Ovis aries: one gene and its partner. The protein of the gene in region 2 purifies or fractionates together with the protein of the main gene of each other region. This does not show direct contact. Links are inferred from orthologs where the notes say so. Each region holds a gene or a part of one and is shown on either strand. Other genes may lie near its edges.

Region 1 (8,483 bases), on a different chromosome or scaffold from region 2:
AATTCAGTGATGACATTGGTAATCCTGAAACAAAGTTATAAAACTGCCTTCAGCTGTTTAATTTTTAAGAAGCAAAACACCAAATACAAGTAGAAAAAAAAATCCCACCTTCCAACTTGATTTCAAAAAGCAAACTCTAATATAATCCAGGCCTCTTGAGTTCTCCATAACAGCTGTGAGGTTGCCTTTAGAACCTCAATGGGGTCACAAAACTCACTGAGAAGAAAGCTATCGGACGTCTACACAGAGAAACACACATTTCCTAAAATGTCACAAAAAATTCTAGGGCATTCATGAGCCCCATCAAAATGGACCACAGGACTGAACCAGGTTATGCACTCTGTCTTAGAACAACCAGGAAATAAAGTCCATAAAGGTAAAGAATCGTCACAGAACTCTCTTCCAAAGCCTGTAAAACCAACTGAACTTACAACAAAACAAAAGTACAGAAAACAACTCTCTGTAACTGCATGGTGACAGACATTAACCAGTTTATCGTGACGATCACTACACAATATACACAAATACGGAAGCATTACGCTGTGCATCTGAAACTAACAGAATGTATGCTAAGTATACTTCAATTAAAAACAAAACAACAAGTGTCTCTTACTTAGTGTGGCCTTCAAACTGCCTGAGGGGAGCCCTCCCACTTATATCGAAAAGCTGAACACCACCATCTTCACTGCCAGCCACAAGGAGTCTACCATCCTGTCGAAAAGTAGCACAGTATGCTGTGTCTTTAAATCGGGAAAAGGTTTTTATAGGTTCTTGGGAGTATCGGCCATAAATGTGAATCTACAACAAGATAAAAAACAGAGCATTTTACTAGATGGCTCAAGAACAGCAGTAAATATAAACGGCGTGAAAGAAAAACATGACATTTACCCTTGAAGAAGCTGTGACTGCATAGTTATATGGAGGCTGGGAAGAAAAGTCTACTTTTGACACTGCACCAAACTCCTTGATCTGAACAGGTGTCTTAATGAAAAATAATAGAGTATTAACAGAGTTACAACCATGCAGGCTACTTTGTACCTTGCCTTTTTTTCATTAACACATCTTAGCTAACTTTTCATATGAGCAATAGCTTTACCATCCATTATAAGATATACCATAATTTACTTTACCAGTCCACTACTAACAAACAGGTTTTTCTGAGATTTCTAATATTATAAATAATACTTCAACAAGCATCTTTACACATAAGGATAACATATACAAATTTTGGAGAGTTTATTCACTGATTAAGTTGCAAGCTGTGTAATTTACAAGACCACAAGTTATTTTTATCTTAAGAGATAACGCCAGAATTGCCCTTTGAAAAGTTTGCGCCAATTTTCCCTACCTCAAGCAGCAATGATGATCAAAATTTTTCATTTGTGCCAACATTATACATGAAAAGGTATCTAAATTATTATTCAATAATTATCCAATTATTGTTTCAACTTGCATTTATTCAGTTATGAGTGAAGTTGGAGCTCTTTTAGTATATTTATTGGCCACTTAAATTTCCTTTCCTATAAACTTTCCAATCCCAACCTCTTTCCATTTTTCTATGAAGTCAATCATCTTTTTTATAAAGAAAAATCATTTAATTAGCCTTTTCAGATGGCACAGAATTCATTTTACATCTCTTCCTCCTGAGATTAGGAAAAAAAAATTTTTTAAAACCTTCTTTCATACGAGATTCAAATTCTAAAGTTTAATTCACTTGCACTGATTAATCATCTACCATGTGTTAGATACCTGTATTATTAAACTGATTAGGGAATATGGACTTTAAAAATCAGACATCAAATTTTCCACCCAAACTATAAGCTACTGACAGATTATTTTTAGTTATTAACTCTTTACTAGCATATCCAAAGTCTAACAAATGCTGGAGAAATTGGCATTAAGTGCAAAACAGTACCCCCTTAATTTTGTCTACACTTACCTTATAGTTGTTCCAGTACAGTGTATCTTGGGTGATTTTTTCACCAAGTACAGGATATGTCTGGATTGCTACAGGCTTATAACCAGCCATACTTTCATGTAATTGCACTGTTATCCAAGGGTAACTAGTTTGAAACTGGTGTGATTAAAGTGACTGTCTTATGTCTGAAAAAAAATATTTTATATACACATTACTACTATTCATAAACCTATACGCAGTTATGATTCTCACTCTGTGTCTTTTCCAAAGGTTGTATGGTAGCTTACAGATCAGTGATCAGTAACCATTTAACGTTAATACAGAAGAGACAATCTAAGGGAAACAAGAAGAACACAGATAGGGCCACCAAAGTGAACTATCTGCTCAGTTATACGCAGAGACTACACACAAATGTTCCCACACCTCACTGACCAATTTACAGCCCTTGGGAATAAATCTGGCTCAGCCATCCAGTTGCCAAAGCAGAGAGAAACACACTTGCTTGGAACGTTCATTTACTAACAGCAAAAAATATTAACATGAAACTGCAACTACAAATGCTCCCTGAAATTAAACTCAAGACAACATTTAACCTGTAAGAACACAGTCTAGGGACCTCGGGCTTCCCTGATGGCTCAAGAGAGTGAAGCGTCTGCCCACATTGCAGGAGACCCAGGTTCGATCCCTGGGTCGGGAAGATCCCATGGAGAAGGAAATGGCACCCCACTCTGGTACTCTTGCCTGGAAAATCCCATGGATAGAGAAGCCTGGTAGGCTACAGTCCATGGGGTCACAAAGAGTTGGACACGACTGAGCAACTTCACTTCACTAGGCACCTGACTTCCTGAAAGCCTAACACTGCCAAAAAGAAAGCAGAGCTGGTATTTTAATGTAGAAGAATAAAACTAAATTTAAAAGCTTAAAATAAAAATCTACTATTCTGATGAAGAAGATTAAAATTAAGTTAATTTTAAAAGGCTTAAACGTAAGAAAGAAAACAAGAATAAAACAATTCTGAAGTGAAATTCTAAATTAAAGTGACAGAATAAAGATTAATTAAAGCTTTTATAATTCCACATTTATTCTGTTAAATCTAAGGTTTAAAAAATAACTTTTCACAATATCAAGAGTGTTTCTTTGCATAAACTTCTTCACATACCATAGGATCTTTACAATAACTTTACCTAAATGTTTTACAATGTTGTGCTGGTTTCTGCCATACAACTAATTAAAACTTTTAACTGACATGCAATTAAGCTGAAATGTCTTTCCAAAACCATTTATTTGCAACAGAGGAATGATTCAGTAGAGCAACTCATCTATTCTCAAAAGTCTGAAAACACTGTATCAGTAACACCAAAATACACAGGTGCAACATATTTTAAAGGCTTTGAGGACACATGGCAATTCATGATTTTAAAAAGGGAAACTTTTCTGTTCACTGAAGTACTTACAAAGTAACACACTGTTTTAGGCACTGGGGTACAATGCGGAGTGAAACAGACATGGTCAGAGCCTTCATATACTCTTGAGACTCTTCATTTCAGCTGGTAATTGGCATAAGCTAGGAATCTTGAATCAGTCTGTCTTGTCGTTCCTTCTCACTTCTAACATGTAATATTTAGCAAGAGCTGCTGATTTTACCTTCCAAATCTTTCTAAACTCCATAATATCCATACTACCTAGTTAGACTGCGCTAATTCACATCTTCTCAACTACTGAAATAGTGCAATATAAGGTTTCCCTGATTCTGTCTGTCTTCCAAATAGCCGTCAGAGTTACCGAACTACCACGCAAATCTAGCTTTTGCTACAAAGCCCAAAACTGCCCGGAAAAGAAGGTGCAAGCTCCTTCAAACAGAATTAAGGCCCTCTGTAATCTTGCCCTTGCTTATCTTTCCAGCTTCACTTCTTTTTCCTCACTTAACACACCATGCTCTTCCTTGTCTCAGTATCTGTCTTCATCTGTCCTCTCTGGCAAGAAAGATCTTTATCTACCTCCTCAGTTCAGTTCAGTTCAGTCACTCAGTCGTGTCCAACTCTTTGCGACCCCATGAATCGCAGCACGCCAGGCCTCCCTGTCTATCACTAACTCCTAGAGTTCACTCAAACTCACATCCATGGAGTCAGTGATGCCATCCAGCCATCTCATCCTCTGTTGTTTCCTTTTCCTCCTGCCCTCAATCCCTCCCAGCATCAGGGTCTTTTCCAATGAGTCAACTCTTCGCATGAGGTGGCCAAAGTACTAGAGCTTCAGCTTTAGCATCATTCCCTCCAAAGAACACCCAGGATTGATCTACTTTAGGATAGACTGGTTGGATCTCCTTGCAGTCCAAGGGACTCTCAAGAGTCTTCTTCAACACCACAGTTCAAAAGCATCAATTCTTCGGCACTCAGCTTTCTTCACAGTCCAACTCTCACATCCATACATGACCACTGGAAAAACCATAGCCTTGACTAGATGGACCTTTGTTGGCAAAGTAATGTCTCTGCTTTTCAATATGTTATCATTTAATATTCAAGAACCACATCCTCCAGGAAACCTCTGACGTCCTTAGCTAGGTTACCGGCTTGTCTTTTATAACCTACTCGACTGTATTTCTGTCAATTCACATAATCATATGGCAGCATAATGATCTTTTCTCCCCATTAGTCAAAGCAATGGTTTTTCCAGTAGTCATGTATGGATGCGACAGCTGGGCCATAAAGAAAGCTGATCACCCAAGAATTGATGCTTTTGAACTGTGGTGTTAGAAAAGACTCGAGAGTCCCTTGGACTGCAAGGAGATAAAACTAGTCAGTCCTAAAGGAAGTCAGTTCTGAATATTCATTGAAAGGACTGATGCTGAAACTGAAACTCCAATACTTGGGCCACCTGATGGAAAGAACTGACTCACTGGAAAAGAGCCTGACGCTGCAAAAGACTGAAGGCAGGAGAAGGGTATGACAGAGGATGAGATGGTTGGATGGCATCACCGACTCGATGGACATCAGTTTGAGCAGGCTCTGGAAGTTGGTGATGGACAGGGAAGCTTGGCATGCTGCAGTCCATGGGGTGGCAAAGAGTCAGACACGACTCTAGGGGCCAAACTAAAACTGAACATTTCATGTCTGGAAGACTAAAAACAATTGCTCAGTGGGGGCTTCCCTGGCTCAGACAGTAAAGAATCTGCCTGCAATGCAAGAGACGTGAGTTCGATTCCTGGGTTGGGAAGATCCCCTGGAGAAGGGAATGACTATACCCACTCCAGTGTTCCTGCCTGGAGAATCCCATGGACAGAGGAGCCTCGTGGGCTACAGTCCATGGAATCACAAAAAGTCAGACATGACTGAGCAACTAACACTTCAGTTTCAAAGAAATATTTGTGAAAGGAACAAAAGGAAGCATTGCGCTGGGTTATATGGGAAACAAAATTAAAACCATGGGTGGTGCAAACACTGCTATAAAGCACAAGTCCACAGAGTTTTTCTGTAAAAGGCCAAAGAATAAATATTTTAGGCTTTGTAGGCCAGCAGGCAAAATGGAGGATATTATGTAGTTACTTACATACCAAGAAAGAAAAAATTCCAAATTTTTTACTAACAAGCTACCCCCAAATAACTGTAAGTATGATATTCTGTTTATGAATGAAAGAGACTCTTTGGAGAAGGGGGAGAAAGTTTCATGGACTTTGAATGATGTGTCCTGTCATCAAATAGGGCTTCCCCGGTGGCAAAGTGGTAAACAACCTGCCTGTCAATTCAGGAGATGCAGGAGACTCAGGTTCGATCCCTGGGTGGGAAAGATCCCCTAGAGGAGGGCATGGCAACGCACTCCAGTCTTCTTGCCTGGAGAATCCCCATGGACAGAGGAGCCTGGGGAGCTCTAAGGTCCATAGGATGGCAGAGAGTGAGACACAACTGAAGCCACTTAGCACATATCCATCATTAAACAAATCACAAACATTCATCTATAAAAAGAATACATGGCTCACTGACGACCCCAGAACAGACAGTTGGCCAGATCTAGCCTGTCTGTGGGCCTTAGCCCCTCACTAGAGCACGGCTGACCCTTGAACAGCAGTTTTGAATTGTGTGGGTCTGCTTAGAAGCAGATTTTTTTCAACAGTAAATACCACAGTACACAGAATTACAGCTTGTTGAAAGCACAAGTAGAGCCCAGGAGGAATCCCATACACGGAGAGTCCACTGTAAGTTATCCCTCCCAAGAAGGTAGGGGCCCCGAAAGCTGCCTCACCGCAGTGTTCAAGGGTCAACTATACAGGCGATGGAGAACATAACTGCCTCGAAAGAAGTACTTTACAGTGGTTTGCCAGATTAAAGTGACGAACAGCATCAGAGGCAGGAGAGGGGAAGCAAGACGGTGCAAAAGCACGGACGCAAGAAGTGACGTGAAAATGAACAGGAAGAAAACAATCAGAGTGCTAACAGCCTGAAAAAAAACCGGGACTGAATGAAAACTAGGTACTACTACATCACAAGGCAGAATACCAAAAGCACGCTATAAGTAATATACAGAAAACAGAACGCTCAGACGAGACTTTAACTGGGAGGCTACCAGAAACATTCCAAGGGTGCATTTCAGTTGGGCCTTTAATATTAAAACCAATTAACCACTTAATAAGAGCGGGCCCTGAAACTGAGAGAACCACATAAGCAAAGACAGAGATGGAAATCGGCCTACTACTTTGAAAGGGTGTGGATTACTCCAGGGACTAATAACGGAGGACAGTAGAAGTGGACAGTGACCGTAGAGGAGGAAAATCTAGGTAGAAACTAAATTGCGAGGATCCTGAGAGGTTGCTTAAGGAGTTGCTTTAGCCACTCCGCGGAGACCGGGAAGCCCCAAGGAAACATGCTAGATAGCAAGGAAGGCCCGATGTGAGTCTGGGGTACCTTCATTGGGAGCCCCCTTTACCTCCGTGGGCCCGGACGGTCCGCCGAGACACCCCAGCGTCAAGGAGAATTTCTTGGACCCCACCAGTCCTCTTCTTGACTATGCAGGAGAACATGCAGAAGATCACGTGGATACTCTAAGAAACCCCTGAAACACGCTGCGAACAGGAGAGCCCGTCGGGTCGCACGAAGGTGACGTCAGGGCGCAGGCTCCCGAGACGCACGCAGCCTGGGTGACGCAGGGGCGGGTCCTGTGGGCGGGGCTATGGTGGAGGAGGAGGCGTGGCCAGAGCGCGAGGCCAAGGCCTGGCGATAGACCCAGATCCGTGGGAGAAATGACGCTCTCTCTGTAGTTACTGGGACTGTAAAGATCGCGCAGCACAGCGGCGGGAAAATACCTGGAAGTTCTCTCGGCTGCAACGACGCTGAACGCTTTTTGGCCGGAAACCAAAAGCAGAAATCGGAAGTGACGTCGCCATCACAACAAGCCGGGGCTTGGCTGAGGTCCTGCAGTGACTCTGGCCGCAGATGGAGAGGCCCGACTCGCTGTGGACTGTCGAGAGTGGTCGCCAGGCCCTGCGCCCCGACCCGGGCAGCCTCCGGCCCCTGTTGCCGGGGCCAGCCCGCCGCGGTTGAGCCAGTTTCCGCCCGCCGTGCCGGAGCCGCGCTGGGATTTTTTTCGGGCAGAGCTGGCGGGTGGCGACAGAACGAGACTTCCCTCCTGCCACAGTCTCCCTTCCAGCGGGTTCCTGTCCTGGGACGCCGGGACACCTGTCGCCTGTGAGGCATCATTCATTCTCATAGCACCTTCCTTTCCTCGTAGGGCAGCTCCAGGATGAAGAAGAACGGGGGGCGGGGAGTTCCTGGTATTAGCACTCACTGGGGAATAACCCAGTTGCCCATTTTATTTCGCTGGGGCCGCTCTACCCCTTCTCCCTGGGCTCTGACTGGTTGAGGTGACCCTAGCTTTACTTCTTTTTTTCTCCCCGCCTCCTCTTCTGGATCGTCTCCCTCCCCTCCCCTTCTTTTCTTATACTTAAAAATTATGGCTTAACCGGTCAATTTTGCCTCTCCTCCTCTCTAGACTGGTGCCAAGATAAGCATTCTATTTCCACTTGGTTTAGAAAGAATTGGTTTCTTTTGCTTTAGTGCTGCTTTTTATTTTAATGAACCGAGTGATGGGAGTCATGAGCTCCCTGTTTCTCTTCTCTACGGTGGACATTGATTATGATTACCTGCCCTGGCTACCCAAAGGATTGTTATAAAAATTAAATAAAAACATAAAAAGGATTGTTATAAAAATCTCGGAAGATGTTCTAAAACGTAAACAGGGGCTATCTGTAAAATGTATGATTTGCCAACTTTTGCTCCACTGTGATCCTCTTTTAGTTCCAATTAATTACAACTTTAAAACACCCTGCACCCTCAAAATTTCTAAGAGGCAGTGGCCTTAACGTGATAAAATTGTTTCGTTTCGTCCCTAAGTCCTGTCCCACTCTTTTCGACTCCGCGGACTGCAGCCTGGCAGGCTCCTCTGTCCATGAGGTTGCTCAAGCGAGAATACTGGAGTGGGTTGCCATTTCCTTTTTCCCGACACAGGGATTGAACCCGCATCTTCTGCATTGGCAGGCGAATTTTTTACAACTGAGCCACTGGAAAGACTATGAAAA
Region 2 (10,290 bases):
TGCCCGCGGCCTGACCTGCAATGGCGGCCGCCGATCGCGGCGCCGCGCGGCCAACGGGCGACAACCGAACCTCCCGCCGCCGTCGCCGCCGCCGCGAGCACTGCCTGCGCACTTCCGGCCTTGCGCCGCGAGCACTTCCGGGGCAGAACACGCGGGCGCGCGCACGTGGGGCCGGGGCGGAGAGAGGCGAGCTCCCTAAGTGGCGAGCCCTTCCACCGGTGAGTTGGGGAAGGGGCGTAGGTAGTGGGGATGGAATGGGGTTGTATCTAGCGAGTGCGGCTTGCTCTAGGTCGGCCCCCCGGGAAACTCGCCGATTCCCCTCTGCCGAGGCCGGGTGGGGGCTACTCCAGACATCCCCGGAGAGGGAATGGGCGGCGGAGCCCTCGCGCGCCTCGGAAGCACGCATAGCCTAGCTGGGCCGAACGCGCCTTCTCTCCTGGCAGATTCTTCACCTTGAAGGGAGATGAGTAAAGGGGCGAACCTGACTCGAGTGCGTCTGTTGGCGGCGGCGGAGCTGGGGATAGAGAAAGTAATTGACAGATGCCAGATCAGTCCTGTCGCTTCATCCCGCTAAGAAGCTCTTGGTTTTTCCTGCCCATCAGCTCCACCGTCACCACCGTAGTTGAGTCTGTGATTTGCAGACTTAGCATGCAGTGGAGATGGAGATGTTTGCCAAAATGCAGGTTCCTTGACCTCCTCCCACCCCCAAAGACTGGAATTCTAGAGCTATGGATTAGTACCCGGAATCCTGCCTTGTTAGAGATCGTTTTGGTTTAGGAGTTCTGCGGACCTGACTTTGAGAGACTCCTTTAGACTGTCAACATTTCTTGCTTTCTTAGAATGATCGAGGTATTGATCCTCTTCTTAACCACCCCCAACCCCAGAAACCTCACGCACCAAATACGAAGGAGACTTTAGTTCTGCCTCGAATACAATTCCTGGAGAAGGAAGTGGCAACCCACTCTAGTATTCTTGCCTGGAAAATCCCATGGGTGGAGGAACCTGGTAGGCTACATACAGTCCATGGGGTCGCAAAGAGTTGGACACGACTGAGCGACTTCACTTTCTTTTCGAATACATTTGGTCAGCTCCTTGTGGCTCCATTCAAGCGCGCACTCCCAGTAAAAAAATGAGGTTATGTTCAGTCTTTTGCTCTAAGATCAAGTTTTAGATTCTCACCTCTCTTCCTGGAGCACTTCCTTTGGGCAGTTTGCGGGATTGCTAGGAGGCTGGGTGATGCTCTATGTGTTGCTTTTTGAATTTTTTTTTGTGGAAGAATCCTGAGCTTCTGGAGACTATTTGATAGATTCTGTGTGGACCATTAAAGCATCTTTAGTTGAATATTTTAAAATGAACCTCAGTCAGACTTCCCAGGCGGTCCAGGGATTAAGACTGGGAGCTTCTAGTGACGGAGGCAGGGGAACTAAGACCCCATATCCTCCCCACCCCCAGTTCCTGCCTGGCCTTCTCCCCACCCCCCAAAAATGGGGAAAAATAGAAATGAACCTCAGTGAGATACATTTGGAGTCTGCCACATAGAACCGTGGTACTGTGCTGCGCTTAGTCAATCAGTCGTGGCCGACTCTTTTCCACCCTATGGACTGTAGCCGGCCAGGGGCCTCTGTCCATGGGGCTTTTCCAGGCAAGAATACTGGAGTGGGTTGCCATGCCCTCCTCCAGGGGATATTCCCAACTCAGAGATGGAACCCAGGTCTCCCTCATTGCAGGCTGATTCTTTACCATCTGAGCCAGGAGGGAAGTCCAGAAGAGTGGTAATAAAAGACAGGAGATGTGATATACTGCTGTTTAACAATGATTCTTTTCTCCCCTCCTAGGAATGGGTGAATTTAATGTCCATCGAGTGCGTTTCTTTAATTATGTTCCATCAGGGATCCGCTGTGTGGCTTACAATAACCAGTCAAACAGATTGGCTGTTTCACGAACAGATGGCACTGTGGAAATTTATAATTTGTCAGCAAACTACTTTCAGGAGAAAGTAAGTCATTTGGGAGCCGGATTTGGTGGTGGTGATGTTAATTTTTTTTTCTTAAGTTTAATTCTGCAAAATCTTCTGTCTTTTTTGTATTCAAGGAGATCAGAAGAAAATGACTCTCCCCTACTCTCTCTGTTGTTTAGAAACAAAGAACAAATATACACTCTCTTGTCTGACTGATAAACTTAGAGCTTCAGTCTATGTAATGTTGGTTAGAAAGAGCCTACCTAGGAATTGTGGTGCTTACTGCCATTTGGAAACTGATGTTTACTAGATCTGTTGTCAAGATCATTGCTTCCTATCAGTCTCTGCACCATTGTAACTTTAGTAAAGTGGCTTTTCCTGCTGTGTTATTACCTATTTCACTGTTAATTCAGAAAAAAATGATGAGATGTTTTAATATCAAACTTTTTGGTGATGTGATAGCAAGAAGATGAATTCCTAAATTATCTATTTGAGAGAAGGTAGATTTATATACCTAATGTTTGGAACTAAAGACGATTTTAAATTAGGTAAAATATCATTTGGGTATATGCACAGGGCTATTACAGCAGCCTATTTTTCAAAGTCTCTGATTACAGATTTCAGATGCAGCAAAATAATTCAGTTCACATTTACTGAGTGCCTTGCATGCCCTCAACACCATGATACAGATGAATAGAAGGAAAAATGAATGCAGTGTCTTGCAGCGTAGTACTTGGAATTTAGGTACTCTGTAACTATTTCTAAATGACTGCAAGCATTAGGCATTAAGATGAATGTCAGAGGCCCTACCTTCAAAGGAGCTCAAAATCCAGTGGGGGAAAGATGAGTATACGGTTTGAAATAGTGTGGTCAGTTTTATGATAGACCTAAGCATGGGCATAGAATCTTAGTAGAGAGGTGCCTTGCTCTGATGAGGTGGGTTTAGGATTCCTGGAAAGGGATGACTTACCTGAGCTGACCCCTGAAGCAATAACAAGAGTTAAGAAATCACTGGTCACCAAAAATGAGTCCCATTCTATAGCATGAAAAACATGCTGTGATGCGCGCTTGTTGTATCCTGTGATTTTTCTTGTTATTATTGTTGCAACTATATAATTGTTTATATATTTGTTTAATGTCTTCTTCCCTCCTGAACTTCCAATTTTATGAAAAAGGGATCTTGTCAGTGATATGGCTGTATTCCCAGCATTTAGCAAGTGCTTAATACAAAGGCATCACTGAGTTAATACATGTTCAACGGGTCTTTACCTAGTACATCTTATTTTCCACTCCCATCGGTTTTCTGTTTTCTTGAACAATTAATTCAGTCTAGTCTTCCACTTTGTTTCCTTGTTCCCTTCCTGGCTATTCAAGATTGATTAGCTTGGGTGATCACTGTCAGATCATGAGAGTGAAGAGTAGGGACTAGTAGTAAGGAGAGTTATCTTCAATTTGTGTCATTGACTTTGGCAATTTGGGCAGACCATTTACAGATGCTCTGCTTTTTCAAGTTCAGCTAGGAAAAATTGTATCTCTCCCGGAGAAGGCAGTGGCAACCCACTCCAGTACTCTTGCCTTGAAAATCCCATGGACGGAGGAGCCTGGTAGGCTGCAGTCTAGGGGGTCATGAAGAGTCAGGCAGGACTGAGCAACTTCACTTTCACTTTCATTCCCTTTGGTGGCAAGCAGCTATAAGAATAAAATTCCTTGATTGTATGAATGCTTTTTGAGCAAGAAGAAAACACTTAGAAATCTGAGACTTGAATGAAAAGCTGGAGTGAGCTGCATTCATTTCTTTTATTTTCATTTTTTAGACAACATTTATTGGTGAAATTGGCCCACAGTAAGCAACATGTTTTCAAAGTATACATATTGATAACTTTTGACACATATACACCTTTGAAAGCATCGATCAAGATCACTACAATGACCTTTAAAAATCAGATGACATCAAATACAATTACTTGCAGACTTTATTGTCTGAAACATTTTGCAGAACTAGTCCTAGAAAAAGAAACAAAACCAACCGTATAACTAAAATGTGAGCCTAAAAAAATGAAAATATCAGTATCATGATCTTCAGATAGTGTGAAATTCCACACTAAGTTATTTCTAGAGGGGCATTTTAATTTTCCCCGTTTACCTGTGATCACTCAGTGCTGGCAGCTGGTGAATTCACGGTGGGTTGAGAAGTTATTGTGTTTCTGTAGTTTTTCCCAGGTCATGAGTCTCGGGCCACAGAAGCTCTGTGCTGGGCGAAAGGACAGCGACTGTTTAGTGCTGGACTCAATGGAGAAATTATCGAGTATGATTTACAGGCATTGACCATCAAGTATGCTGTGGATGCCTTTGGAGGGCCCATCTGGAGCATGGCCGCCAGCCCCAGTGGCTCTCAACTTTTGGTCAGTACGCAACTATTAGTCATCCAAACCGAGATTTCCTCTTGAGCCCATTTACACTTGCTTCCCTGTGTTCATAGGAAGGTAAAGTTATGTTGTGGCCAGTCGCAATTCCAGTCTGAGCCGAATTCCAGCAACCAAGCAATCAATTGTACCTGGATTCCAATAGGAGATACACGATTGGGGTTATTACTGGAGATGTAAAAATCCCTTGTCCTTTTGCACCCTTTCTGCTTCTACTTTGGATCTTGTTTGTTCATTAATGACACCAGAGGTTTCAGTTTGGTTCAGCATCTCCCAAACTGTGTCCTTTGGAATTGGGAGATACAGACACTGTCTTTTGTTTGGCTGCGCTTTGTGTTTTATGATACATTTTGCTTCAGAATTACCACGTGTTAAGTCCTTCCGTAGATTCACAACACACGTTAGTATATTAAGAGTTCTGATAGGTCTTTTTACAAGTCCACTTGTAGAACCATGTTTCTCAAAAATTTTTTGAGCACAGACTTAAGATTTCCCTCCTCCCCGCGCATTCTTACCATTAATTTTCTGTAATGAGTTACTGATTTTTTTTTTTGGTACTATTTTACAGTATCTTGACATATCTCCATGAAGGTGACACAGTTAACGGGTGTTTAATTCAGGCCTTCGTATCTAGCACAGACATGCCATGAAATCCTATTTCTCCTCCATGTCCTGTGCAGGAATTAGGCCACTCATTGGCCTGCTTTCTGGTTGGGATGTGATGGCTGCCAGGAACCAAATTTCTTGATACCAGTACTTTTTTCCTCTCACAAACTATTTTTCCTCTTTCAGAGCAAGTGTTAGCTTGAGGGAAGAAATGTATATATTTTAAATGTGTATATTTGGTTCTCTAAAATGCTTTCTTTGTTTTCCACCCCCTTTTCCATGATAGGTTGGCTGTGAAGATGGATCTGTGAAATTATTTCAGATCACTCCAGACAAAATCCAGTTTGAAAGAAATTTTGATCGTCAGAAAAGTAAGGGTTATTTGTCATCAGGGCAGTGAGTAGTGTTAACAAGAAGTTTTGTTTCTGTGCCACTGGAGATGGGATACTTTCCTATGGGTTCAGAGAATATTTTATCTGTGTGCCAACTTTCTGCGATGCAGGGTATATGCTAGATGCTGTCCTTAGCTCAGGTTCTCTTTACTGTGTAACATAACGTAGCTATGACTACCTGGTTAAGTAATAATAGAGAAAACTGGCAATCCAAAATAGGAAAGCAAGTGTTTCTATGTGAATCAATTTGTTAGTTCTCACTCACTTTAGTGAAGTTTTGATGAATGTGCATAAAGTCTCAAAACTAGGACTTCGCTGTTAGATAGGAGCTGTGGTTCTCAGTCCTGCTAGTACATTCAAGTTGAATGTGGGAATTTTATAGCCAGTTGTCCCTGTTCCAGCTGCACCTACTGACACTGACTTCCAGATCAGAGATTGGCAACCTGTTTCTGTAAAGACACCAGCTAATATTGTAGGCTTCAGCAAAGTAGTCCTAGATAATGCTTAAACAAATGGTCATGGTTGTTCTCACCTAAAACTTCATTAACGACAGCTCACCCCAGGTTGGCCTTTGGGTTGCAGTATGCTGACTCCTCTTCTGGAGAGTGCTGTCTGAGATGTTCTCTATGTCCAATAGTAATATTTATTCTCTGTTCATCAAATCCCTGTATGTTTGTTTTTAATATCTTGCAGGTGTTCTTTTTTTTTAATTACAAAGGTGACACAGTGTTGTTAAAAATTTCACACGTTTGGCTAAGGGTGAAAGAAAAGAATAAGTGGCTCACCTCAGTCTGTAGGCAACATTTTAAAATGAATCTAGACCTTGTTGTATCTTCGAACGGACGGATACATTTCCAGGAGTGCTTGCACTTGCTTTTCAGCTTTTTTTTTTTTTCATTTGCTATATCACAGACATCTTTCTGTGTGAGTTGAGTTGTGCCCATGTGAGTGGCATTCCATTTTATGGTGTTCCATAATTTGTTTGATCACACTCCTACTGATAGATACTATTATTAATATATATATATATTTTTACTACTCAAGCCAGTGCTGTAACGAACATTCTTTTCTTCACTTGGGCACTCTAGTAATATTTCTCTGTGGTGAAATTGACAGTGCAATTGCTGTGACAGATAGGCACGTTTAAATTTTGTTTGGTTACTGCCTGGTCACCCTCAGAAGGTTGTGCTTGTTTACAATCCTATCAACCATTTATCCATTATTAAAAGCAAGCATCAAATATGTCATGTGAGTCCCAGGAAAAAGTTGTTCCTCACCTGTTACAAAACAGTTCTTCACAAAAATGCAGCAGGTGAGCGCTAAGGCTATAGAACGCTAGTCCTGTAGATCACTGTGGAAAGAGAACTCAGTTACCGTTTGCTGTATATGTACGTGTATGTCACTTTCTCTTTGGTTGTAAAACTCCCCAGGTCGAATCCTGAGTCTCAGCTGGCATCCTGCTGGTACTCACGTTGCGGCTGGCTCCATAGACTATATTAGCGTGTTTGACTCCAAATCAGGTGACTGTTTTTCTCAGCTCATTTGGGATGTGGGTCTTGTTTGTCAAATTCACATTTCTCTGTTTCCAAAAGCTGTGTCCTTGTGCTTTTACCAACCTTCTGAGTTGTCACTGTGAATTTCATATCTTTCTTAGATTCCTACTGCTGCTTTTAGGAGAACCTTGATTCTTCAATTAAATACAGTATTTTTCATCATAAGAATTCACACTAAAATTTGCCTTCAACTCTTCATAAAAGAAAGTGTCTGTCTTTGAGGAACCTAAGTTCTTGGTAACACAGTAACGTATTTCCTCTGCTCTTGGCCTGGAGGATTGGCTGATGGATTCCTTCAGTGATGAGACTGACTTCAACCTGTTAGGTGGCTGGCTGTACTCCCCTCTAAGATGAGAGGATATACAGGACAGGGATGTCGCCTTTTTCTTCCTCTGTACTGCTTAAGCAAGTTTTTTATTGTTATCAGTCATATGCATATAGTCAAAGAATTCCTTAAGGCTTGAATCCCTTCTCCTGCTCCTCAAAGGCAATAACCTGCAACTCTTAGCTGTTTCTTTTGGTATTTGTCTCTGTGCTATACATAGTATGCTTAAAATACTGTGTTGTATTTTCTCAGTTTTAGCCCCTTATTTATTGACTTCCACTCTATTAACCCTCTTTCTTTGCACTTTGCCACATGTACCCATATTTCTTCTTGATCCTCCCAGTACGGTTATTTTGCAATTTTGTTCAGATTAGCAGTTGATGTTTTTAATCTCAGACTATATAGGTACTACTTGCAGAGTAAATGTCTTTTCCTTCCCTGTATGGTTTTTTTTTTTAATTTTATTTTTAATTGGAAAGTACCCTGTATTCTTTTCGTTAATATTGTGTGTCTGTCTCTCTCTCTCCTGTGTGTGATTGATACATATATCAGTAATTCATCTCTACATTCTTCTAGTTGTATAAGGTAGGTTCAGCTACATCTGGTTTTCTTTCTCATTTTGGGTGGGGTGGGGTACTCTGCACGGCTTGCAGGATCTTAGTTCCCTGGCCAGGGATTGAACCTGGACCCCTGCAGGGAAAGCACCAGACCGCAACTAACCACGGACCACTAGGTAATCCCCACTTCTGGTTTTCTTTCTACTGCTTTCATCTCCTTGAAGGATTCTCTCCCAGAGCCTTCTGCCCTGCCTCAGTCGAGTGGAGCCAGTTTCTGGGCCTGCTGCACAACTCTGAGATCTTGAATTCTGGTTTTTCAACCATTCCGGGAATTCCCTTTGCTTGTCTCTCACGTGGAGTTCCCCGTGGCCATGTCATGCACTTTCCTAGTTTATCACTTTGTTTGGTGGATCCTGAGAAAGGGTTTTTATGAGAAAGAATTCTAAGTTGAAAATTATTTTTCCTTAGAAGGTTGAAGCCATGGCTCTGCTGTTCAGCTTCTAGTGTTGTTATGAAATCTGATGCCTTTTTGGGAGTAGATCCTTTGTGTAGGTTTTTATGGTTTGTTTTTCCTGGGAGTTTTTAAGATCTTCCTTTTATCTTTACTGTTCTGAATTTAATAATTCTTTGTTGTGTGGATCTGTTAATATCAATTATATGGGACAACTTGATAGGTTCCTTCAATCCAAAAACCCATGTTTTCCATTTCTGAGGAAAATTCTTATAATCATTTTCTAAATGAGTTGCTCTCCATTTTTTTCTAGAATTTTATCATTTGAATGTTGGCTTTTCTCATTTATTTTCTTTCTTTCTTTTCCCTGTTACTTTTGATCTCTAACTTTTTACTCTGCTTCCTGAGAGAGTTTGTCATCTTTATCTTAGTCCTTTTCTTGAGATTTTCCTTTCTGCTGTTTGTTTCTAGACTTCTTCTTTGTTTCCTGAATGTTCTTTTTTATAGCGTTCTCTTTTTATTTCATTATATAGTATGAACTCTTGCATTATATAGTACTAACTCTTCTCCAAGACTATTCTCTTCTCCGACCATTACTTATTTTTCTCTGCCCCTCTCTTGGGCCTCTGCCTTCCATACTAAGGCTGTCCTCCAGTGTCTAGGGGTTCCTTTCATCACCAGACAAGTTTATTGCATCTAAACTTCACTGAGGAATGGTCTGGCTTGACTGTCAGTATGGGGAAGCTCTAAAGACAGGCTGTTTAGGTCTTTTGTCGTGTACAAGTCATATTTCCCAGAAGTGTTTTTTGTTCTCCTGTGGGGTGATAACAAGCAGGGCCATCAGCATTCTAAGAAAACTGGTGTTCTTAATGTTGAGAGACAAGTTTTCACTTAATCTATGCTCCATATACCGCTCCCACCCTCAGTTGCAGTGATACCCCTCTTCAGAGAATAAGTTTCTGGTCTCTGAGAAGTGGAATTTGGGGAGTTGCCTGGCTTCTTAGCTGTGAGGCAGGACCCGAGGGATATCATATCAGTTCAGTCACTCAGCCGTGTCCGACTCTTTGCAACCCCATGGACTGTAGCACGCCAGGCTTCCCTGTCCATTACCAACTCCCAAGCTTACTCAAACTCATGTCCATTGAGTCGGAGATGCCATCCAACCATCTCATCCTCTGTTGTCCCCTTCTCCTCCTGCCTTCCATCTTTCCCAGAATGAGGGTCTTTTCTAGTGAGTGAGTTCTTCACATCAGGTGGCCAAAGTATTAGAGTTTCAGCTTCAGCATTAGTCCTTCCAGTGAATATTCAGGATTGATTTCCTTTAGGATGGACTGGTTGGATCTCCTTGCCGTCCAAGGGACTCTCAAGCGTCTTCTCCAACACCACAGTTCAAAAGCATCAATTCTTTAGCGCTCAGCTTTCTTTATAGTCCAACTCTCACATCCATACATGACTACTGGAAAAACCATAGCTTTGACTAGATGTATCTTTGTTGGCAAAGTAATGTCTCTGCTTTTGAATATGCTGTCTAGGTTGGTCATAACTTTTCTTCCAAGGAGTAAGCATCTTTTAATTTCATGGCTGCAGTCACCATCTGCAGTGATTTTGGAGCCCAGAAAAATAAAGTCAGCCACTGTTTCCATTCTTTCCCCATCTATTTGCCATGAAGTGATGGGACCGGATGCCATGATCTTAATTTTCCAAATGTTGAATTTTAAGCCAGTTTCTTCACTCTCCTCTTATACTTTCATCAAGAGGCTCTTCAGTTCTTCTTCACTTTCTGCCATAAGGGTGGTGTCATCTTTATATCTGAGGTTATTAATATTTCTCCTGGCAATCTTGTTTCCAGCTTGTACTTTATCCAGCCTGGCATTTTGCATGATGTACTCTGCATATAAGTTAAATAAGCAGGGTGACAGTACACAGCCTTGACGTACTCCTTTTCCTATTTGGAACCAGTCTGTTCCATGTCCAGTTCTAAGTGTTGCTTCTTGACCTGCATACAGATTTCTCAGGAGGCAGGTAA

Evidence for each region.
Region 1: the proteins of UTP4 (region 2) and UTP15 purify together in Homo sapiens (co-immunoprecipitation; 4 studies listed by BioGRID and IntAct, counting the BioPlex papers as one, with this or other methods). This does not show direct contact. The link is inferred for Ovis aries from reciprocal best matches to the Homo sapiens genes UTP4 and UTP15.

What each region holds. Positions count from the first base shown.
Region 1 is NC_056069.1:8,205,436-8,213,918, forward strand, and holds the start of UTP15 (U3 small nucleolar RNA-associated protein 15 homolog), read right to left. Parts: upstream 7,014-8,483; 5' UTR 6,836-7,013; intron 2,104-6,835; 5' UTR 2,030-2,103; coding exon 1,940-2,029; intron 982-1,939; coding exon 889-981; intron 799-888; coding exon 614-798; intron 1-613. UniProt on the Homo sapiens protein: Ribosome biogenesis factor. Involved in nucleolar processing of pre-18S ribosomal RNA. Required for optimal pre-ribosomal RNA transcription by RNA polymerase I.
Region 2 is NC_056067.1:35,905,809-35,916,098, forward strand, and holds the start of UTP4 (U3 small nucleolar RNA-associated protein 4 homolog), read left to right. Parts: upstream 1-144; 5' UTR 145-218; intron 219-1,835; 5' UTR 1,836-1,837; coding exon 1,838-1,996; intron 1,997-4,167; coding exon 4,168-4,359; intron 4,360-5,272; coding exon 5,273-5,357; intron 5,358-6,808; coding exon 6,809-6,898; intron 6,899-10,290. UniProt on the Homo sapiens protein: Ribosome biogenesis factor. Involved in nucleolar processing of pre-18S ribosomal RNA. Part of the small subunit (SSU) processome, first precursor of the small eukaryotic ribosomal subunit.